Linked DNA regions of Astyanax mexicanus. The protein of the gene in region 1 interacts with the protein of each later gene in a pairwise test. Links are inferred from orthologs where the notes say so. Each region holds a gene or a part of one and is shown in the gene's direction. Other genes may lie near its edges.

Evidence for each region. The genes of interacting proteins can lie anywhere in the genome.
Region 2: the proteins of ewsr1a (region 1) and prmt1 interact in a two-hybrid assay, tested with the Homo sapiens proteins (2 studies listed by BioGRID and IntAct). The link is inferred for Astyanax mexicanus from reciprocal best matches to the Homo sapiens genes EWSR1 and PRMT1.
Region 3: the proteins of ewsr1a (region 1) and khdrbs2 interact in a two-hybrid assay, tested with the Homo sapiens proteins (2 studies listed by BioGRID and IntAct). The two-hybrid records come from large-scale screens. The link is inferred for Astyanax mexicanus from reciprocal best matches to the Homo sapiens genes EWSR1 and KHDRBS2.

The regions. Positions count from the first base shown.
Region 1 is NC_064427.1:20,602,963-20,610,381, reverse strand, and holds the start of ewsr1a (EWS RNA-binding protein 1a), read left to right. Parts: upstream 1-4,089; 5' UTR 4,090-4,137; coding exon 4,138-4,153; intron 4,154-6,126; coding exon 6,127-6,163; intron 6,164-6,295; coding exon 6,296-6,347; intron 6,348-7,130; coding exon 7,131-7,269; intron 7,270-7,419. Other genes in the region: atp6v0a2a (V-type proton ATPase 116 kDa subunit a 2), read left to right, coding at 26-151, 710-820, 1,157-1,274, 1,869-2,040, 2,233-2,335. UniProt on the Homo sapiens protein: Binds to ssRNA containing the consensus sequence 5'-AGGUAA-3'. Might normally function as a transcriptional repressor. EWS-fusion-proteins (EFPS) may play a role in the tumorigenic process.
Region 2 is NC_064426.1:20,248,617-20,256,657, forward strand, and holds the start of prmt1 (protein arginine N-methyltransferase 1), read left to right. Parts: upstream 1-4,647; 5' UTR 4,648-4,734; coding exon 4,735-4,803; intron 4,804-5,971; coding exon 5,972-6,067; intron 6,068-6,181; coding exon 6,182-6,337; intron 6,338-7,135; coding exon 7,136-7,199; intron 7,200-7,481; coding exon 7,482-7,624; intron 7,625-7,733; coding exon 7,734-7,821; intron 7,822-7,936; coding exon 7,937-8,041. Other genes in the region: ap2a1 (AP-2 complex subunit alpha-2), read right to left, coding at 898-964. UniProt on the Homo sapiens protein: Arginine methyltransferase that methylates (mono and asymmetric dimethylation) the guanidino nitrogens of arginyl residues present in proteins such as ESR1, histone H2, H3 and H4, FMR1, ILF3, HNRNPA1, HNRNPD, NFATC2IP, SUPT5H, TAF15, EWS, HABP4, SERBP1, RBM15, FOXO1, CHTOP, MAP3K5/ASK1, MICU1 and NPRL2.
Region 3 is NC_064414.1:43,132,551-43,140,409, forward strand, and holds the start of khdrbs2 (KH domain-containing, RNA-binding, signal transduction-associated protein 2), read left to right. Parts: upstream 1-4,465; 5' UTR 4,466-4,711; coding exon 4,712-4,802; intron 4,803-7,859. UniProt on the Homo sapiens protein: RNA-binding protein that plays a role in the regulation of alternative splicing and influences mRNA splice site selection and exon inclusion. Binds both poly(A) and poly(U) homopolymers. Phosphorylation by PTK6 inhibits its RNA-binding ability.

The DNA.
Region 1 (7,419 bases):
TGTGTTGTGTGTGTGTGTGTTACAGATGGGTCTGCAGGTGTTTCTGGTGGCCATGGCTCTGCTGTGTGTTCCTGTGCTCCTGCTGGGGAAACCGCTTTACCTCTACTGGCTTCATCACGGCAGCAAAAGCCTGGGAGTCCACAGGGTGTGTGTACGTGCGTGTTGACTACTGTGGGATGCTGCATGTAGAGACTGCATGAGTGTGTTCCAGTTCAGGGACAGGATTCTTTAAAGGATGTGGTGGATGGTGGCGCAGCTTTCGAAGGCTGTGTAGGCCATACAGGTCTACTCTACTCTATATGATTTTATCTGCTGTTTTCCTCGTCCAGTGCTCACTAATTGTGGTAAAAAACAATAATTCTACCCATTGGGTTGTACTGACTCCACCATACAGGCAGTCAGCTGTGTGTATGTGTTTTTTGTGCACCACCAATATAACATATTGTTTACTGCAGAATGAGGTAGGCATGATAAAAGCTTTTGTTTTTTTGTTTTTTTTAAGATAAAAGTGAATAATTCCACATGTTTGCACTACAGCCACAAAACATTTTTTCATTTATTTGTAATATTAAACATATTGATGTAAGATATTAGCTATGTAGGATAAAAGCTAATCTTGACCCATTGTTTTGATCTAATTTGCAAATAGTACCCTTGCTAGCTTTGTTTTTTTGTTTTTTTTCACAGTGTCTTATTTTTTTCTGTACAGGGCTATGAGCGAGTTCGCCGTTTAAGTGAGGACGATCTGTCCCCGTCTATCGTCCACGATGAAGAGGAAGGGCTGGATGATCACCCGGGTCGAGACTGCAGCCCAAAAGAGGTCCGATTCAAACTATCAAACTACAAACACTACCTGAACCTGATACACAGATATCTTTATTAAGAATTACTTAAATTACTATGTGGTTTCTCACACTCGTGTCCAAATATTTGTGGACAGCCCTCTAATGAATGCAGTTAGCTAATTTACAGCTAAGTTGCACCCATTGCAAACATCTAGTAAAACACCTTCTCCTGGACAGTTCAGACAGTTACTTTAACAAAAGCAGGATAAACTCTTTTTTCATTCCCTTAATTTTAAAATAAACCATGAAAAAGCTGGTGTCCCATGTTGTGTATTTGTTATGTGAGTTAATTTGTGTACTTTTGTTTGCAGTTTGATTTTGGGGATGTTTTCCTACATCAGGCCATTCACACTATAGAGTTCTGCCTGGGCTGCATCTCCAACACGGCATCGTACCTTCGCCTGTGGGCCCTCAGCCTGGCTCATGCTCGTTAGTACACACACACACACACACACATACACACTCATTGAGCATATTGAGCTACAAGTTTGCATTCCCTCTGTCTTGTCATAATCACTGTGTGTGAACTGGTCAAAGATGTGATCCGAGAGCTCGTCCACAATATCTAATATCTAGCAGGTTTAATATCTGGACTAGCCAGTGACTCCAGTAGTGTGAAAAGTGCTTTGACTGGACATTAATGCAGCGACTAGCTACAGCCAATGAGAATGCAGAATGAGAGTAATAAAAAAGGCAAGGTTGAGGTTGAGGTTGTCTATTGCCAAGAAAGCAATACGCCAGAAATTTACCTGAACTTTCCTTAATTTCCACACCACCACGCCCATCAGTGTAGATATATTCAAAAGCACTGTTGCTATTTAAACGAGGAAGGTGGAAGGCGTGAAAATAGACTGTTGGTAGGGTGTAAGATAGCAATAAGCACTGCAACGGTATCGCCTATAGACTTCTTATCTGTCTTTCTCTTGTGTATTACTACAATTCACATACTGTATTTGAATGCTTTTGTTATATAAAAATAAAATAAATGTTTTGTTTGTGTGTGCGTGTGCATGTGTATAACAGAGCTGTCGGAGGTGCTGTGGGCGATGGTCCTGCGTGTTGCTCTGAGGATTAACTCCAGGTTGGGGGTGCTGGTTCTCGCCCCTGTTTTCAGTCTCTTCGCCATCCTCACCGTCTCCATCCTGCTGATCATGGAGGGGCTCTCTGCCTTCCTGCACGCCCTGCGCCTACACTGGTCAGCACACACACTCAATATTACACTCACATGCCACAGACACTTCCAGCTAGATGCTGTTAGTCACCATAATTTTTACTCACTAAATTAAAGTGGGTGGGAGTATTAGCCTTCCTATGGTGTATGCTGCAGTTTTAGGGATTTTTTCTCTTATTTACTGTATAATCATTCTTTATTTCTCTCTGTCTCCAGGGTGGAGTTTCAGAACAAGTTCTACAGTGGAACAGGTGTAAAATTCGCCCCCTTCGACTTCTCCCTGCTTCCCTCCGTCTTCGAGCAGGATGGATTACTGTGAGCAGCGAGGAAATTCTGAGACCTGAGCTAATCCACCCTGGCTTACCATGACTTACACTCCTCCTGTTTCCTCACCGCAGCTCTGCAGCACTAACCACAGCAACCGGACGTTTCATCGCCTTTCCTTTTATACCATTTCAACATTCCAGCCCATCCCCCACTTTTTTATTAAAGCAGGATCAATCGAGACTGACTGCCTTAGATAAACACATTCATATCAGCGATATCTGCCACTGACTATCATCACCGGCTCCACCAAACTCAACATCACTCAACATCTGCCATATAACATCTTTAAATAAGTTTGTCAGTGCAGCCCTGCTGTTATATTTATATTTTATTAGAGATACGACCTCGACTTGGGAAACCCTCTTATTTATTCACAGACATTTCCATTTTCATATCGGATTTCAAAAGTGCCATAAGTATTTTTCCAGATACAGTTTTGTATGCTACTCTGAAATGGGAATATTGAATTTATTGAGCCGTCTCTATCCCGTGGATCTGAAGCACGCACACGCACACATTATGAAGTAAAAAAAAATACTTGTGATGTTTCAGGTAAACTTCGCAAGTAAAAGAAAAAAATAGCCATCATTTTCATACTAGATAGAATTTTCATTGAAATTTTCATTGAGTACAGTATTAAAGCATCATTTGCAAAAAGAGAGATTTCTGGTGGCTTGTCGTCTTTCTTATTTGTAGCTTTAAGTTCTGTAAGTTGTGTAAGAGGTGGGCAGAGCCTACATGAGCATCAATGATAAACCTGGGTGCTTATCGGTACATTAGGGACATTTTCAGTACATTAGGTGCTGAACACTTCATTCTGGAACACCAAACAAGACTTGCCTGATGTTCTAGAGATGTTCTGACTCAGACATTAATACAGGTTATTCTACGATAATTGTATATATCATTTGAGAGTGTTCAAAACCAACATATTTATTCAACAAAACTTGATTTAAATAATTTATCTGCTTTTCATTTGGATCTAAACTTCTAAACTGTAGCATGTATGATTGGACGCACCTTTGAATATGTTCTGCATTGTAGTTTAACATTTTCTCAGACAGCTTTATAAAGTATAGTCACCTAGAATGGCTTTAAGTTAACAGCTGTGCTGAACTCATCAAGAATTAATTGCCCTCTTAATGTGTTTGAGAAGAATTGTAGTTGGTATACAGTGATTTTGTTTCAACTATTGGGGTTATGTAAAGTAAGTAAAGCAAAAAATACTTAACTTTTTCAGAAATGAAGGTTAGTCAATCTGAAAAATTTCAAGAACTTTGAAAATATCCTTACGTGCAGTCACAAAAACCATTTAAAAAATATGATGAAACTGGCACTTATCAGGACCAGTACCCAGATAAGAGCCCAGCTAAATGTTTCACTTTTAGGTTCACTACATGACTCCTTATGCTTCGCTTCATAGTCTAGATTAATTCAGTATTCATTTACAATGTATGAAAAATAAATAAATAAAAACATATACAACCTTACTGTATAACAACAACATCAACTCTAAGAACTGGTCCATTTTTTACATAATATACAATATACAGTCCAAACTGTCACAGTCTGAGCTTAAATACTTATCTTAAACCTTGTTCAGAACTCTAAGTATAAATGCTGACACTTAATTTGGGTTATAGTAGAGCGTAGCGCGATTTTAAACCATTTGTAAAACTTTTAAAAATGATTTTATATAAATCGCAGCTGAATGGATGCGCCTTTGGTGCGAAGGTATCGTGCGCATGCGCAGTTCTCGCCTGTGGACTCCGGGTGAAGAAAATAGAACACGAAATGGCGTCCGCTGCAGGTAACGGTTACAATAATGCAAGAAAAACGATTATTTATAATGAAACGTAGACTATTATCATCAGATATTGGTTGAAGAATATATAAGCATATTGTATGTGATGTTTGTATCTGTATAATGTTGTTAAATCGATTATAATTAGGCTTATTTGGCTGGTTTATGAACGTGAGCATTCTACCGTTAGCTGGCTATTCAGCTATTTGAGCTAAGCGTTACCGGTAGATTGAGCTTTTTAACGCTTACATAGACATTGTCGGTCAGTATAGCTTATTTAGCTAGCTGTATTCGTGGGTGTAAAACGTTGTTTAGACATTGTGCAGTAAGCTATTTTATGTTCGCTAGCTTGTAAATTCAGTTAAACGTGATTAGAATGACTGGCTAACCTAGTTAGCTAACTAGCTAGCTCTCTAGCCCATTATTCTAAGGCGGTGGGCGTAACTAGTTAGCTAGCATTTTTGCATTTCTGACTCAAAAAAGAGAATTTAAACGCTTAAAAATCGCATTGAAATATTTTTTAGCTTGTCCTTATTATATAATATCGAAATGATCTGTGGAAAATTAGATAAATAGGTTATCTAGGTTTTTAACTAGTTATTTTTTACCACAAAACATCAGTAGGGTATAGAAGCCCATTCCCGCCGGCTAAAATAAAAAAATAAAATAAAATCCAGCACATTTTTTTGTGATATAAACAGCTTCCTTATTATTTTGAGATACTTGTTCATTATTTTGAGATACTGTTTCGTTATTTTGAGGTACTAGTATAACTTACTGTACAGAGACATAAACAGGTAAGATAAATACTAAAAAGAATGATAGAGCAGTATTACTCAATAATAGTAAGAAAATAAAATATTTTTTGTAAAAAAAAAAACACAGCACAATATCAAGCTATTGCTTCATTTTTATTTATTTTCATTTAAAAAACATTATTTATTTAAAACATTAAATAAATGTTTTTATGAATATTAAGCACCCGCCTTTTAACTGTACACGCAGCTTTTATATTAAACACATTGTCTAATCATAACCTACTTGCAAGTTTGTATTTAAGGTAAAGTTTAAAATGATGAAAATCACTGCCACATAAAAGCGCAAATGTCCATCTACTAAGATTCCCTCTGTAGCTTATATATGTAAAGATGTACAATCAGAATTACCCCCATTTTGAAAATCACATTATAACAGTAATTAATTACTGTAAACCAACAGTAAGGCATTTTGATCATCAGCCTGTTTTGAATTAACTTGCTAGTTTCTTTTTTTATTCGTTTAGTTCTGTCTTGTATATGTTTGGCTAGTAAGGATACAACATTCAGGATTAAAGAACCTTTAACTAAAGTGCCCCTTCTGAACTGAAGAAACAGATTATTTAGTTGGGAGAACTATTTGTTAAAGGAAGGGATTAGCTCATTTGTTGGAGGACTAAACTTCACAGTATTGGAACAAATTAACCTTGGTGTACTGTTTCTGTGATATGTAAAAAATTAGAGTAATGTGTATAACTTGTAGCATTAACTGTATTTAATTTTATTTTAATTATTTATCAAATTGTTTTTTTTATTGATTGACACATTAGGATACAATTGTGTATTCTCTTAAGTAAGGCTGAAATAATGCAGAATCTTTTTGCCTTAGGTGGGCACAATTAATATGAATTTTAACAGTATTTTTTTAATAAGTAGTTTAAATTCTGTCTATAAAATAAGCGCATCATGTCAAAAGTGGCTCTGCTTCTTCAGCTGATGAGGGAGTTCTTCTAGGAACTAGGTAATTATGAATTTCTCATGTGTATTCTCAGGAGTGTTATAACACCTCTGGTGTATGCAATAATTGTTTTGGGATGCACAATAATTAATAATAGCCATAAAAAACAGTCAGAAGGGCTGGTAGGTTTTCGTTTTATTTCTTCTAGGTTGTATGTATGGTATAAACATAATTTTTTACACTGACTGTGTTTTTTATTACCACAGATTATAACAGTTACGGGCAGGCCGGAGGCCAGCAAGGGTAAGAATACTGCTTTTAAGTATAGAAAATATTAATTAATTAATATAAATTAATATTTATATATAATTGTTTCTGAATATATATATATAATGGTTATTTTGCTTGTTAATGTTAGTGTATTTTTTTTTCCAGGTACAGCTCCTATGCTGCCCAGCCCTCTCAGGCCTACGGACAGGGTGCCCAGGTAACACACTCAGATAATTTATTCCTATTTTAAAGGATCAGTCAGTATGGCTACATGAGTCCACTTTCCAAACACCTGATTAAGTTTCCTGCACTAGCCACACAGTGGCAAGTGACAACAAGTCTTACTCTGTAAAGATGTACGTTTCAGTGTCCAAAATGTCTCTGTCTACTACACTATTGGAGGTGTTAAATTACTCAGCTTTGGTTAGCAACCTTACTGAAGCTCAGTGATTACCTGTTCAACAGAAAAATAGCCAGCTCACCCGTTTCCATGGCTGTAGCACACTGTTTGCATGCTGATGTGTTCTATACCTGGTAACCCTGAGTGTGGAAATGGTACTAGGGGAATGGATGCACTACATATTTGAACACAGTTCACAGTTCAAATATTGCAGCTGAATCTTATGCTCTGCTGGGAAGAGGTGTCCGTGCTTAAACTCATGTTTCCTTAATATCTGATGATGCATCCTGATCATGTAATAAAGAACTACAGAAAATTTAATCCGTAATGGGCCTTTAAAGCCTCTGGTTATAAGCAAGTTAGTGTTAAATACTCCTGACATTAAAAACAGTAAAAGAATGTATTTTAAATCTATTTTTTCCCCAAAAAACACACAGAAAATTATGTTATATAAAAAAGTATATAACTGTGTCGGCTGAGTTTTGTATCTTTAAAAAAAAATGTCCTAAATGTTCTATGTTCTTAATATTAATGTGCACTGAGTTTTATCTAGAGTCTTGGGAATGTGAATAAGCTTATGATGCGCTTCTGTTTCTCCAGCAATCATACGGACAGCAGCAGGGCTATGGCTCATACACCCAACCTGCTGATTCAGCCTACCCTCAAACTGGCAGCTCATCTGGGAGTTACGGTCAGCAGGCTTATGGGTCGTCATATGGGCAGCAGCCACCAGCCAGCAGTAAGTCATTCATCATGGATTTAAACTGTTATACAGATTTGACGCTCCAGTGTTAAAAAGCAAGTTTTTAATTAAGTTGATGTCCTGTACTGATCTAAAGTTGTAATTAGTTGTAATGTAGAATCTAATGGTAACATTTAAAAAAATATT
Region 2 (8,041 bases), on another chromosome or scaffold:
ATCCCAAAATCAGATCAGGGTTAAACCTAAACCATTACGCTAAATTAAAACACTATGAAACTTCATAATAACGCATGGCTACTTTTGGATTATAAACAGCTTATGAAGTTGCTATGTTTGTATCCTGCCTCCAAAAGAAGCCTACGTGCCTCTGCAAACTGTGGAGGATCATTTCCAGGATGTACTCCACACTGAGCAGGGCCTTTCATGTCATATCAGACAACATATCAAGAACATCCATTGCAATGTTGGTGGAACCCACATGAAGCGACCCCCCCCCCCCCCCCTTACCTGCCCATCCCACAAGAGAGACTTGGGTTAGACAAGACCCGGTCTCCACTACAAGACTGACTGACTGACCTCTTTAGGCTTGGCTTATTTAGGCAAAGACAAATTAATAACAGATGCTACGTGTAACTGTTGGATCTCTAGAGGAATCTGGGGTTTATCGTAGAGGCCTAACTACGTTACCTACATGTCTCTGCAAACTGTGGAAGATCATTTCCAGGATGTAGCTAGCTAGTTAGCCTAATCCACAGTGAGCAGGGCCTTCAAATATCATATATCATATCAAGCACATCCAAAGCAGTGTAACCTGAGTGGACGCACACTAAATCAACGACCTCTCCTTAGCTAGGTTAACTCGTTAGCTTTCCAGATAGCTACTTTAGACTTAACTAGCTCACCTAGATAGCGCTAGCTAGTTAGCTAGCTTATCTACACATCCTACAAGGGAGACCCGCGTTGGACCAAAACCAGCTCCCTAACCTTCACCATTAGCTAACTATTTAACAGCTGTAAATTATCCTTATGCTTCGTTTTTTTTAAGCATAAACACCCTCTATATTAGCTATAGGCCTATAAACAGTCACTCTTAATAGTATAAATGGCACTTACAGTTTCTTATGTCCGATATGAAGACCGCTAATCCTCGCATTCCGTCTCCTTTCGACACAGCCGGCATCTTTGCAGGATTTTGTTGTTTCTTCTCACCTTACACGAAAAATAAACCACTTTTTGTCGACCTACGACGGTTTAGCTCACCTCGCTTTCCACAAAATACGCTCGTTTCGTAGCACAGCACCACTGAGCTACCTAACTAGCTAGAGCTATGTTAGCCGAGAAGCTAGCTAAAGCTAACGTTAACTAACCCGTACTCTGGCGCTTTTGATGGATGTTTAATGTGCTAGAGAGTTAGCCACCTAGCTAACGATAGCTGCTAACACAGTTGTGTGAAAGCTGAAATAACCAGACCTGAAAGTCAAAGTGTCTACAACCTATCTCTCTTTCTGCCTGTGTGCTTCTTTATTCAAAATATGTATCTGTCAATTCATAAGCGAGAAACCCGCTGCGCTCCGACCGCCGCCGTTTAAATTCATTCAAACCCAACAGTCCAAAATTTAACTACTGGCCCAAACGACGACAGGACTGAGTCACTTGGTGTGTAAAACCAAATTTACAGCGGGTCGTTTTCCTATAACACACTGTAGATGAGTGGATGTCCTACACAACATAAACAGCCACCGGGAGAGGGAGGAAAGCGATTAAAAAATAAAATATTTGATCTCCTTTCTGCTCGCTGTGAGTCACGGCACGGCGAGCTAGCGGACCAGCTAGCTGGCAGGCTAGCGCTATCAAACGTTAGAATACATCACCCGGAATGACCAGCGCGGTCGGAGACGGTCAAACCTAACGTTTTTTTCGGCGAACAATCTTATATTTAGCTGGAAAAACACAAATATGTAGTCTAGAATTCGGTTCGAGGTCGTCGGTTTCGTGCCTGCCGCGCCAGGTCGGTGTTCACGGACGAGGCTCGTGACAGAACGAACGAATAGCGATGTCCGACTCGGGAAAGAATCGGTTCATTTGCAAATAAATCCATTGAACCGAATCAGAGTGAATTAATCCTTACTGTGGCAGCCTATATAATGTTTACTTTAGTGTTCAAAACTAAGTTATCATTATGTTAGAAGTATATTTATACTTTTATTTAGTTTCTTGCACTCAGTGATACTCGTAGGTTCCAGAACCACGATTCTCATCAAGAAGAAGAGACGAAGATGCATGATAAATAAATAAAGACAATATTATATTGTGTTGTTGTTGTTATTCATTGCATGCATAAGGAAATTAAATACATGTTGTCTGCTCCCTGGTTTATTAATCGTGCACAGCATGCACTAGAAAAAAACACTGTGTTTTTTTCCACACAGTAAAATTGTGGTAAAAAAATGTGTGTTGTATATGATGCAATTTGTTTAAAACTATTAAAATCTACATGTAATTGCATTACTTAATTATTTTATGTTTATAACGTGTACTTTTTAAATATCTGCAACTTCTCAGTTTTTTTATTTTATTTTATTTTATTATTATTTAGATTATCTATTATTTTATTATTTATTAATACATTATTTGCAATCTTATTTTATCTATGTGTACGAATATCGTTTTATGATTCATGCAGCTGTATTTTGATTTTTGCCACAATGTAAACAAAAAAAGCAAGCTAATAATTGCGGGACCTCTCCCACCCTAAAAACGAGAATGAGTCACTGAATCGGGCAATTCGAAAGAATCGGTTCGGTAAACTGAATCAAAGTTCGTCTACACTCCAGCAGTATCAGTAGTAAAGGATTCTAGTGCTTCCTCTCGAGAAGCTCCGCCCCCCTGCTACCACAGCACACGCTGATTGGCTGGTAATAGTTTGTAATGCCGTTATGAAAACATTAATAGCTCGTTTAAATTGAATCTGGATCAGTAAAACTTGCTTTGTTTCTACATTAAATATATTTATTTTATATATGATATAATCAAATAGTCTAGCGGAAAATAAGCGTATTTGAGTTATTTGATATGGTTCAAATGAAAGGAACCATCTCTAAGAGCTCATTTACAGAAAGTTAACGGATTTTGGTATGCTGTCTGATGTCTGACACACTGGTTTACCACAGTTTTGATCATAGATTTGTCAATATTATATAAAAAAAATAGATTTTTAGCATGTTATCCTTGAACATCTGTTTTTCTGGCTCTCTGGGAACATTAACCTCAGTGTACTGCACACTGCAATAAACCATCCTGACGTACTGTGCCACCACACCGTGGACTTTATTATGGAAGATTAATGTCACTTGCTATGAAGTATCATAAATATGATCATTACGCAATACCCACTGCCCTGTGTGGAAAGTCAATTGCTCCCTTTGCTGTATACTTTACACCATCCTCAACACCAATCATTGCAACTACACTCTATCTGACATCATTGATCAGCTTTTTACTCTGCGATGGAGGGAGATAGCTGCTTATTTCAGGCCCTGTCACAGTAACTGCAATGCAGTGCTGTCATTTTACAACAATATCAAATCAATATCAATAGCACAATAAAATATTTAATGCAGTATTACAGTAGAAACACAAACAACCATTTTTAGTAACTGAGTAACTGTCTCTATTGTCCAGGGATGGCTTATTCTATTGGCAAAACTTTTCTACAGGGACTAGATAAGCTGTGTGTGTACTTTTCTCTTTTTGTTCCAGCAATGGGTGCAACTTAAAGTAATTGAATGCATTAATTAGAGAAGATGTTTACAAAAAGTGAATACGTAGTTTTGTGAGTTTTGTAAGTTAAAAAGCACTTATATACATGTCAGTGATAAACGTTATATGCTGCTACTGCCTGTGTAAAAAACGATGAATCATCTAACAATTAGGAATTTACACAAAAGGAATATTTCTTTTTAGATTTACTCAAGAGCGCCCTCTAGCGTTTTCCAAGGGTGCGTCCCAATTGCGAACTGCATAATAATAATATAGGTATGTACTATATACTGGTCCTAATAGTGTGAGTTTTGCAGGTTAGCACACAAAAATATTAATAAATAAACCCGTTTTTACTGGCAGTGAAGTCATAAGGCACTTTTTAAAAATAATTTATGTTTTTCCTTTTTTGGCAGATTTTTTAGTATACTCAACTTTTATCTATACTACACACTAAATACCCCAAAACTAGTTACTACTAGTAGGTACGCAATTGGAACACAACTCATGTCTTACTGGCCAGAATGGACACAAATATTAGGGAAAGTATTATTTGCCTTTTTTTTGTTCATTCTAATCAAAATTATACAATTTTTTTTATCAAATGATAAGCAATAATTACAACCCATGACTAGATCAAAACATTTGAAAAGAATTCATATTAATTGATTGATAGTGAAATTAAGTTTACATACAAAATAAGTTCATCTGGCATGATTATGTCAGACATAGTACTGCTGCTACTGTATGATATTGAATGTATAAACTGACTGTATCTATTATTAATATCCTTCCAAAAAACAAGGCACGTTCAAATGAGAATAAAAGCTATCGGGGGTGGGGCAACATGAAAGCTGTCCAATCACAACTCTTCAGTGGATTTAAAACCTGGACTGGTCAGGATTTACATGAAAAGCGAAAATACTGCAGGAACTGGGGCTGGAATCGCAAACAATCCCGAATCACGGCGTTGATGGCTTCACACTGAGCCAATAGCGACAGGGTTTATCAGAAAGGGCGTTACAATGGGTGGGGTCACGTTACAGCGGCCCAATTACCGATATGATGACTGGATTTAGAGCCAATGGGGACTGGATTTAGAGGAAAAGGCGTAGTTTGGGAGGTACTTCATCGCAGCAGTCCAATCAGAGAGCCGGAGTATGTGGGCGGGAGTCTAAAGGGGAGCGTTTAATGTTCCGCGCTGCAGCTGCGAGTCCAAAACTTGTCGGCGAAATGGCGGAGACGACGGACAGGATGGAGGTGAGCTGGAGCCGCGTAACAAAGACGGGCAGGGGGAGACCGCGGTTCATGTGGGAGAAATCCCAGCGCGCTTAGGGGCCGTGTTTGTTCGGTAGAGGCTGTGTGGCGGAGCCGCTGACCCGCTTATTTCGCTAATTAGCTCGTTGCGTAGTGACCTGAGCTCTCGGTAATGTGCGTATAGGAGCATCCATTTTAGCAGCACATCGCTCCCCATTCATTTCCACTAACACGTGGTTGCTAATCTGCTAACACACAGTACCGCCGTGGGGTTATGGCGTCTGTTAAACATTCCGTTTGTTTTATCTACTGCTCCGTTTGTATTTATTAATGAATCACTATTCTGTCTATAGTTATTTAGCTAGGTTAGCTGTGCTGCTAATAGAGAACGCATGGGATTGGCTAGCTGGGTATCTACCTAGGTTAGCATGTTAGCCAACTTAGCTAGTTAGCTTAGATCGGGTAGCTAACGCCGCCGCCTCGTTGTTTCTACATGTGTTAACCAAAGTGATATTAGAAGTTGGAGCTTTTTTTGGTTAGTTTTGAAGTAGTAAAGCTTATCTACTGAGATTTAGCCACTGACCATAACTAGTAACCTTTTTTAGCTATAGAAGCTAAAGGTGGCCTCTCGCGAATTCCCCGGTCCACCTTAAATGGCACCGCAGCTGCTACAGATGGAGCTAGCGGCGCCAGAATGTAACTTCTGTACTTTTTAAGGTGGAACTGAGAATTTAAATTTTAAGGACATATTTTTTATCTACATGGCCTTACCCCTTTACTGTAAAAGGTACAAAAATGATTTCTTAGGATCGTTTCCCTTTCAGAGGCTCGAGTACAGTACGGTTTATTGTAGGACCAGGCCTCATTTATTTTACATACCACGTGTGCTGGTCTGTTAGTGATAAAAGCCTTTGTCTGCCCCCCTTTTTCCTGTGAACTTCTCCAGTCCGCCACCCATTGTGGGGTGTTAAATTTAAGAATTTAAGTGTGTTTTTTTTTTTTTTTTTAAGTTTTGATTCCATTTAAAATTATTTTGGGGGCCTTAAGTGTTCTTTTATGTTCTTTTTATCTTGCGAAATTCCACAAAAACACAATTTACTTAAAACTCCAGGCTGAAACTCTTTTGGCTTTTGTTTTAAATGTAGTATTTATTTAATCCTTTGTTCTCCAGGTGTCCCAGGGAGAGAGCTCAGAGAAGCCTGCGGCTGAAGACATGACGTCCAAGGACTACTACTTTGATTCCTATGCTCACTTTGGCATCCACGAGGTTGGTACTCTTGTTGTTATACCCCTGTATTCAATACTGTACAGTATTTAATAGTTTAGACTTAATTTCCTACCTTACGACCTGTTTTCTAATGCTTTTATTTGGTGTTTACAGGAGATGCTTAAAGATGAAGTGCGAACTCTCACATACAGAAACTCCATGTTTCACAACAAGCATCTGTTCAAAGATAAGGTGGTGTTGGATGTGGGCAGTGGAACTGGCATCCTGTGTATGTTTGCAGCTAAGGCTGGTGCCAAGAAGGTTATTGGGGTAAGTAGACATTCTTGTTGTGCAAGTCAATAATGTAACATAATTAGAAGTGTGTCTAAAGGAACCTGTAAGTAACTGTGCTGTGTGGTTTGACCAAATATGTATACAAAAGTATACACAATATACAAAAGTCCCACCTCATTAACAGAAAATGTGCATGCACACCATAGTCTTTAAAGAGATACACAAACAACTTTTAACCCTGCTTCCATTACAAAACTAAACTTTAGTTTTATACACTATAAATGGACTAAAAATACTCAATTTTGAAGTATTTAAAACATTGATTTTTTTTAAAAGCTCTTGCATGAGTAAGATAAGTTTAAGTTAAAATGTTTTTATTGAAGCCATTGGAGGTGTTACAGTATTGAAATCAGCCACAGTTCCCTCCTTGCTCCAGTTAAACAAATTAAGTCCAGTGTATTAAAATGAACGTTTAAGCCATAATATATTTAAGAGCTATAGGGTTTTCCTTGTGTCCTGAGTTTTAGGGAGTTTAATGACCCCACACTCAGGACCAAATCTGGGCTCGTCTGGGGAACGAGAAGCATGTTTGTACGAGCACATTGTATTAAATTCCTCTCTGGTATACTGTATGAACCTGTATGCTGCCCAACACTAATATAACAGTTACCTTTGAGTGTCTGCATTGAAAACCAGTTTTAAACACATGTAATGTTTGAGCCTGGTTTATTGGGACACAAATCCGCTGCTTGTGTGAAATCAACTTTCACTGCTGTTTCTGTTAAAGTTACTAAATGGACAAGTTGTGTTCTAACATTTGTGTCTATTTTCTAGATTGAGTGCAGCAGCATATCTGACTACGCTGTGAAGATTGTCAAGGCCAATAAGCTAGATCATAGTAAGTGTATTTCTATTTTGGTGGTTCTGCATATGTCATATAAGAGACAGTAAAAAAATTGTTACTGATTGCTCTGTTAGTGCAGTTTACCAGGCCAGCATGTCAGTTTTAAATTAGTTCATAGTGTTCATATTTTACACAAACTACAAGGTGTGTAATTGAACCAAGGGCAGGACGTGTTTTTTTTTTTTTTTTTTTTTAAGGATTTCATTATAGATGTCTGCTTTAGATACACAAAGTTGCGGTGACTGTTTGATTCTCATGAATGTGTTCTCTGTTCAGTTGTGACCATTATCAAGGGCAAGGTGGAGGAGGTGGAGCTTCCAGTGGAGCATGTAGACATCATTATCTCTGAGTGGATGGGCTACTGTCTCTTCTACGAGTCCATGCTCAACACTGTGATCTATGCCAGAGACAAGTGGCTGGTAAGCGTTCAAAAACCCGCTTCACAATCTTTGTGTATGTGTAGGATATTTTGGGTGTATTTGTGCAGGAAGCTAAATTAAGTGTTAATATTTGTTTTCTTGCACACAGAAACCTGACGGGCTGATCTTCCCTGACAGAGCCACTCTTTACGTCACAGCTATTGAGGATAGGCAGTACAAGGATTACAAAATCCACTGTAAGTTCTTTTTTTTGTTTGTTTTTTCTCTATTCGCTATGCCAAATTAAGCCCTATCCCCTGTAAACAAGTTTTATCCCGGTATAATACTTTTGTGGTTTCTTGTTTCCTCTAGGGTGGGAGAATGTCTATGGATTTGACATGTCCTGCATTAAGGAGGTGGCTATCAAGGAGCCACTGGTGGATGTCGTTGACCCCAAACAGCTTGTCAGCAGTGCTT
Region 3 (7,859 bases), on another chromosome or scaffold:
AGGCCAGTCTGCGGAATTTTACAGCTCTTAAAGACAGTGTCTATAATTGAGAAAATGAATCCACGGCGAGGAGAGCGGAATCAATAAAGTATGATTAACAGAGGAATGAGGACAATACATTTGAAAGGGCCTTGCAATATGCCAATTCGAAGGTCTGCGCAGTACAACGCTGCTTTCCTGTGGTTTTGTGGATCCATTCTTTCACGGTCTTTCCTGACAGAATGCCGGAAATAGATTATTTAATGGCGGCTGTTTTTGGAGTAAGGGAGAACAGGGACCAAAACAAAATGCATGCAGTTAGACGGAATTGAGTAGAAGAGGATTCTGCTTGTGTTATTGTTTTCCATTGCAACCAATTTCTGTACAATATGACAGCAGTCGATCATATATTTCTCAGGATTCTTTCTGGAATACATTGTTCATAACCAGAAGGCCTGCCACTGACTGTGGATAATTTTTGCTGACAATGATACTGTCCAGCGTGATTCCTAGAATGTTTATTTCATCATTATTTTTTTGCCAGTCATACATTGATCAATGCATCAACTACAGCATCTTCATAGCTGTACTCACAGATCAACCTTCATAAGGTAAAGACGTGTTACTTGAAATATTTAAAAAATATGCTGCAAAGTTTTCACAGAAAGTACAAATTGCCCAAAAGTTCTAACTCTCCTAAATATTATAAATTATTAAAAGTTCCTTGCTCTTTAAAGGAGTGTAATTATAGTTATATAATGGCCAAAAAAATGTCTAAAAATGACAGTAATGTCATTTAGCATAGTTATTTCCTGGACAATATATAAAACATAATAAAGATTGTTATGGGGCCAGACATAATCACCAGTTTCTTTTGGTAACAGTAACTTTTGTTGAAGAAACATGATTAACCTGACCAGGCTAAACCAGCAAGACCAACATGATCAGCAACACTATGCTAGTCAAGAGCTGGTTAACCATCTTGCTTTACAGGATAGAGGGTATGTTTTAATTTTTTAAAGCTTGTGGAAATGAGGCTTAGCTGAAATAAATGTGTTGTGTATAGTTTTTAAATCTCCTCTGCTTAAAAAAACATCAACATAGAATTACAACTAATTAATTGGGTTCGCATCTACTTTTTTCAACTGACTGTTTCAGCTAGCCACTCTGTCAGTCACAATTAACCTTGCCTTTAGGCTATGTTACCCTGTTGTGCTGAATTTTCCACAAATAGATTGTGCCGGGAACAAAATCTAATTTTAATTTGTGGAAGAGATATGTAGATTTTGTTAGGATAAACCATTTTTAAATATCCAGAATGTGGCGTTTAGCTGTGTCCTGCTTTCCCTTAAATCAGAAGCCAGTCAACAGACTATGTGCAGGGGCAATTCTGCACTGGACTGCGGTAGATCAATTGGATATCATTTTATAAACCACTGTTACTTTGAAAACATCTGATAAATACTGATGGTTACTGGTGCGTGCAGTGTCCCCGCATGAGTGAAAGACCAATTTTTGGTACATGGCGTCTAATCACCGCGTTCCAGTGGACCGAGGCTCTATGAACATTCTCACAAGGCAGTCGCTGAATGTGACACTGGGTGTACAGATGTTTGCCAACAGCACAGTAATCCATTCAGTCATTAATTAGGCAAGCAGGCCTTCTTCTTCTTCCTCCTCCTCCTCCTTCTGTCTTTCCCCACTTCCCTGCCCCTCTCTCTCTCTCTTTTGGTGCATGTGTTTAAGTGTATGTGTGTGAATGTGTGTGCTTGTGTTTGTTTGTGCATGTTTTCCCTCTATAGACTGCCTGTCACAAATGCCTAATCCATCTTGGCAAACCGAGGCATACAGAAACGCCATTGATTAGTATTCACGGACACGACAAATTGAGCTGACTTTGTGCCCTGCCATAAATATGGAACAAGTGTCTTCCTTAAGACAGATTTCACCTTGCTTCATTTGTTAGCTTACCTTTCCCACACAAGCGCCATTAGTCTTAAACCACTTTACAACTCGCACATTTTTGGTACCACAAACAAGAATAAACAGCTCCAGAAATGAAGCACAATGCCATAATTCATCTTGTATTTATGTATCTAGGTTATGTATGTAGGTACATGTATGATTATTTCTTTATGCTCAGCCCAAGGCAATTCAGCACAAGTCCAACATGATGGTCCAGTAAGGAGAATTTCTGTTAGGGATCTAAGGACTTGACATTGACATTGGAGGCCGTGAGTGACCACTCTTCAAAATCTGTAAAGGTAAACCAATGATTTAGTATTCAACTACAGGTTTTAACCATCTCCTTATTTTAAAAGAATTTTTTTAATGTTTAGTGCCTGAAGCACTTCTGAAAAATCCAGTTCAATATCAGCTTTTGCTGTTAGCTAGTTTTGGAAGGTCTAAAGCAATTTTTTTGTATTTGATGGCTAAGGTGGTTGGAAGCTGTTCATCCAGCTAGACAAAAACATGCTGTTAGTCTAGCTGGTTCACCAGCTTTTGACCAGCATGGTGAATTTGGCATGCTGCATTGATTTTGCTTGTGTGTGATGCTGGTTGACAAAATTGGTCATAATGGTCATGCTGGTCAACCAGCGCAGCCATATTAGTCAACCAGCATGGCCATGTTAATCAACCAGCTTGATCTAGCTGGTCAACCAGCACACTCAAGTTTGGTCATACTGGTTGCCTTGCTTGATCACTGATTATGCTTGAACATCAGCTAAAACATCAAACTACAACCCTATGCTGGTCAAGGCCATTTTTTTCTAACAATTGGTTCTGCATAGTCTAAGCTGCTCTTTGATGGTCAAGATGCTCATCCAGTTGAAAACATACCCTGTACCGGTATTATAAAGTGTTACCAACTATCTGGTTAATTGGCTATTGAGTAGCATAGTGTATGTTGCTTTTGATTTAGGCCAGTGTAGTCATCCAGCTGGGTCTTGTTGATCATGCTGATTGATCAGCTTGTATAGTTAATTTTGTTTGTAGACCAGCTAAACAAATAAACTCACACCCTATGCTGGTCAAGATCAGTTTTTGCTGGCAGCTGGATTTGGATTGTCTGAGCTAGGCTTCAATTTCTTAAGATGTTTGAAAAGCTGGTCATTCAAGTGAAAGCATACCTTGCACTACGCTTGACCAACTTACTAGTGTTGCATTTGATTTTGGTTATTTTGGACATTGCTGATCGACCAGAGTGGTCATGCTGTTTGTCTATCCTGTCTGTATCCGTCTTAACCATCTTAAATGAATGAATAAAGTTACGCTTATATATCGCCTTTCTAGACACCCAAGGACGCTTTACAATCATGTTCCACATGCAATCATTTTACACTTAGCACTCAAACACACACAAGCACTTATCCACACACATCCCTAGATGAGTTATAGCATCAACAGCAAACGTAAGTTCCAGCAATAAATCGACCAGTGTAAACATCTTTCTCATCAATACAATATCTTTTTACTAAGGAAAATGACCAAAAATAATACACAGTGACGTGAATGAGTAACTTTAATTGGAAATAGTTACGTGTTGGATTACTTGTTACTGAAAAAAAAATGGTTTAAGAGATACAGACATCACTGATACTTTTTTAAAATCCAATTTTCTTCCCAATGTACAAGGCCAATTACCCAACCCACTCATTAGGACTCCCCCATTTCACTGGTAATGAAGACTAGCACATGCCTCCACCGATACATGTGAAGTCAGGCTCCACCTGTTTTTAAACTGCTGCTGATGCAGCATTGTTGAGTAGCATCACAGCAAGCTTGGTTCTAATACATCAACTCACAGACGCCTTGTGCTAAGCGACATCACCCTTTGGAGTGATGTGGGGAGAGAGCGCCATCTACCCACACAGAGAGAGCAAGACCAATTGTGATTTCTCGGGGCTCTGGCAGCTGATGGCGAGCTACATAAACGGGATTCTAACCAGCGATCTCCTGAACGCTGTGGCAGCGCCTAAAGCCCAAATTATACTTCTGCATCAATCCTACGCCTTAGCCTACGCATCGCTGCGTACCCTACGCCGTAGCTTTACACGCACATATTCCCACCTTCGCGGTTTAAACTGCAGAGCGATGCAGAGCTGTTGATACGCACACACAGAAGTATAAATGTGTCCCCTGGATATGCGCAGGCTACAGCATAGGTTCGACGCAGAAGTATAAATTGGGCTTTAGTCCGCTGAACCACTCTGAGCCCCATGACATCACAGTCTAACTTGTGTAAAAAAGAGATATAATATGTCCCCTTTAAGACAACAAATCTTACATTACGGTAGTATTAGTATTTATCCACAGAATACCGTGATTAACCGCAGTATACCTTATTATATCGTTACATACCGTTAGCGTTGATGCTGTTTGACGCTTTCCAGAATTCGCTTCTCCGACCCAGCCAATCAGCAGTGAGGGGGGCGGGGCCAGCGCGCTTATTCCGTGGCTATAGGCGGGGAGCTTTCGCACGAGAGCCCTGCGTTTAAACCGAGCGCGAGGAGGATATGAGTGTTTATTTTTTGGTTTGAATAACGCTGCCGTTATTAAAACAGCCGTTAGCTAACGGAGGAAAGCAGCCGGTGTTGTACCGATATCCGCTCCGTCAGTTCTCCTCAGGGTTCAGGCGAAGTCAGACCACAGTCCCGTCCGCCTCTCCGCACTTTCTTCCCCTGTGTCTCACCTGCTCTCGCCGCGGTCAGGAGAGGAGCGGTGGCCGGTTATGGATCAGGACAAGTACTTGCCGGAGCTGATGGCCGAGAAGGAAACGCTGGACACGACCTTTGTTCACGCTATGCGCCTTCTGGCTGAAGGTAACAGGATTATTTTACCCTCTTTATCCGGTTATTTATCCCTTTTCTGTCCGGTATTTGTGTACAGTGTCCCCGGGTAAGTCTCTATAATCACCATATGTGTGTATTATTTGTGTATGAAATGCTGGTGGTGTTTATAAACGTTTGTTTGTTTGTTTGTTCATGGTCCTGCGGTTGGGAGCCCTGGGTGAGGAATGGAGGGAAGGATAGAGAAATGGATGGAGGGATGGAATGAGAGAGGAATAGAGGGATGGAGGGAGATGTAGAGGCGTGCCTGAGTGCAGCAGCTTTTCCCCGCCATGCTGTTAGGGGGTCAACAAGCTCCTCCTCAGGTGTGTTGGGTTTGGAGCTCTGAAGTAGATTAGGGGACTCACAGGTCTGAACAGAAGCAGACAGGGCTCTGACTCGTTAACTGCTCTGTGTGTGTGTGTGTGTGTGTGTGTGTGGTTTCATCATTACTTGGCTAAACTTCAGGTGTTCAGGTGTGTTCATGCAAAAAAAAAAAAGTGATAACTAACTAACTACATGACTACCTAAAAGGAAGTAAAACATATGCATATGTATATAACTTACAGCTCTGGAAAAATTTAAGAGACCACTTTAGTTTCTGAATCAGTTTATCTGATTTTGCTATTTATAGGTATATGTTTGTGTAAAATCAACATTGTTCTTTTACTCTATAGACTATGAACATTGTTTGTCCCAAATTCGAAATAAAATATTGTCATTTGGAGCATTTATTCATTTGCTGAAAAATAACAAAATCACTGTTTTCATGCATCTTGACATGTTCTCCTCCACCAGCCTTACACGCTGCTTTTGGATAACTTTATGCCACTCCTGGTGCAAAAAATCACGCAGGGGCTTGGTTTGATGGCTGTGATCATCCATCCTCTTGATTATATTTCAGAGGTTTTCAATTTGATAAAATCAAAGAAAGATATGTTTTGTGAGGGTTTGAGGTTAAGAGGTTGAGTTGCGTGATATTGGAAGAAATAAAATGACATTGCAGTAGATGTTTCTATATGTGTTATTGATATGATTAAAGGAAAACATTGTTTTTTGTTAATGTTTTACAAACAGAAAAGTCAGGAATCCGATATGGTCAGTAATAACCTTTTTAAGTTCATTTTTCTGACAGTTTGTGGCTAAATTCAAAAACAGGAAAGTTAGTGTAAAACATTATATTTAACTTTCCCCTTTCCAAAATCACTGAAATACTGAAAGTGAGGGGTAAATTAAATTAAATTAATGAAATTATATTGGACAGATAAATATGTGTATTTTTTGTAAATCTCAGTATATATATCTTAGAGAAACTGCAATGACTGTTTTTTTTAATTATGCAGCCCTACCCAAGATGGTTCTTAGGGAGATGCAAGTAAAGAACCATTTTTTGTCTTTCATGGTTCTTTATACACATCTCTTATAAAAACAGCTCTTAATGAAACCAAAAATAGTTTTGTTCTATACCATCGCTCAAATAACCCTTTGTATCACCTTCATCTTTAGTTTTAGGCTCAAATTAAAAGTAACACTGTCATTACCATGTAACATTATCACTCACTGAAGTGTGATCAGATGTAGACTGCTCTCAGACCAGTTCCATAAGCAGAGTCTGATCCTGTGGCTTCAGTAGCTCCTGTGTGTTGGATTATGCTTGTGTGTGTGTGTGTGTTTTAATGCTTCTGTGTTTCAGAGCCTGGGGTGAGGGATGGATTGAGGGATGGAGGGATAGAGGGATGGAATGAGGGATGGGGGTATGGAGGGAGATGTAGCGTGCCTGAGTGCAGCAGCTTTACCCTTTCATGCTGTTAGGGGGTCAACAAGCTCCTCCTCAGGTATGTTGGGCTTGGAGCTCTGAAGTAGATTAGGTCTATACAGACACAGATGCAAAGGTCTCAAACTTACTGGTGTCTGTGTGTGTTTTTAACTAAATAAGAAAACAAAGTAAATGATGGATAAAGAAATGCTCGCATTTTAATGACACCTCAGAAGACGTTTTAAGAGGGTGTGGGGCTTTCTGACTTAAAAACTCCATTTGTTTGGACAATAGAGGGAATATCAAATTCAACTCGACCAAACCAACAGTAAAATGATCCTACTGGCTATCTTTGTGTTCGGAAAGTATTAGTGTAAATATGAGAAACTCATTAGTGCAGGAAAAAATGACAGCGTATGGAAGATTTATATGCAATATACACTCTTAAAATAAAGGTGCTTTATGTAGTTCTTTGAGAAATTCCACTTTTTTATGTCTGAAGATATGAACTCATAAGTTTTGCTCACTTTAGTAATGTCCATTGTTCGGTTTGATTTACTGGGTTTTTGCCATCAGCATCCGGAGTCTAACAGAGCCCAATGGGCCTTGCTCTCTCTGGGTAAGTAGATGGCGCTCTCTCCCCTCATCACTCCAAACAGACCTATTAATGCAAATACAAAAGAGGTGTGTCTGGGTTCACATGTGTTGGAGGAGGCATTTCCTAGCCTTCTTCGTGCTACCATTGTTGATGGTATTCTATTACTACTAACAGGGGGAGCCTTAATGAGTGGGTGGGTAATTGGTCTTCCAAATTGGGGAGAAATCAGATAAAATTAGAAATACATATAGAAAAAAATTTAGCTGTATAATTATGTTACTGTAAAATATGCTTGTTTTCAATTTTTTTTCATAAACAGCCCAGTCTTTAAAGAACCTTTACAACCTCATTTTTTAAAATCTGTTAAAATGCTTCTTTATGGCACCAAATATTTTTTTATGGCAATCCTCCAAGAAAGTAGTACTTTGTAGTACCTTTACTTTCAGTGTAAGGTCAATGTAAATCATTATAACTTTGCTAGTATGAGTAATATGAGTAATTAACATGTGATATAAACATCTCTTGAAAAACTAGATCACTTAAAATATTATTTAGTATTTTGCCCTTTTTAGTAACACAGATGCCGTGCAGTATTAATAACTAACTGCATTGATCCATTCCTGCCACACTCCAAAGCTGTACATATGGATGGTTAAACTGCCTGGACTTTAATATTAACACTGAGCATGTGCCAAGC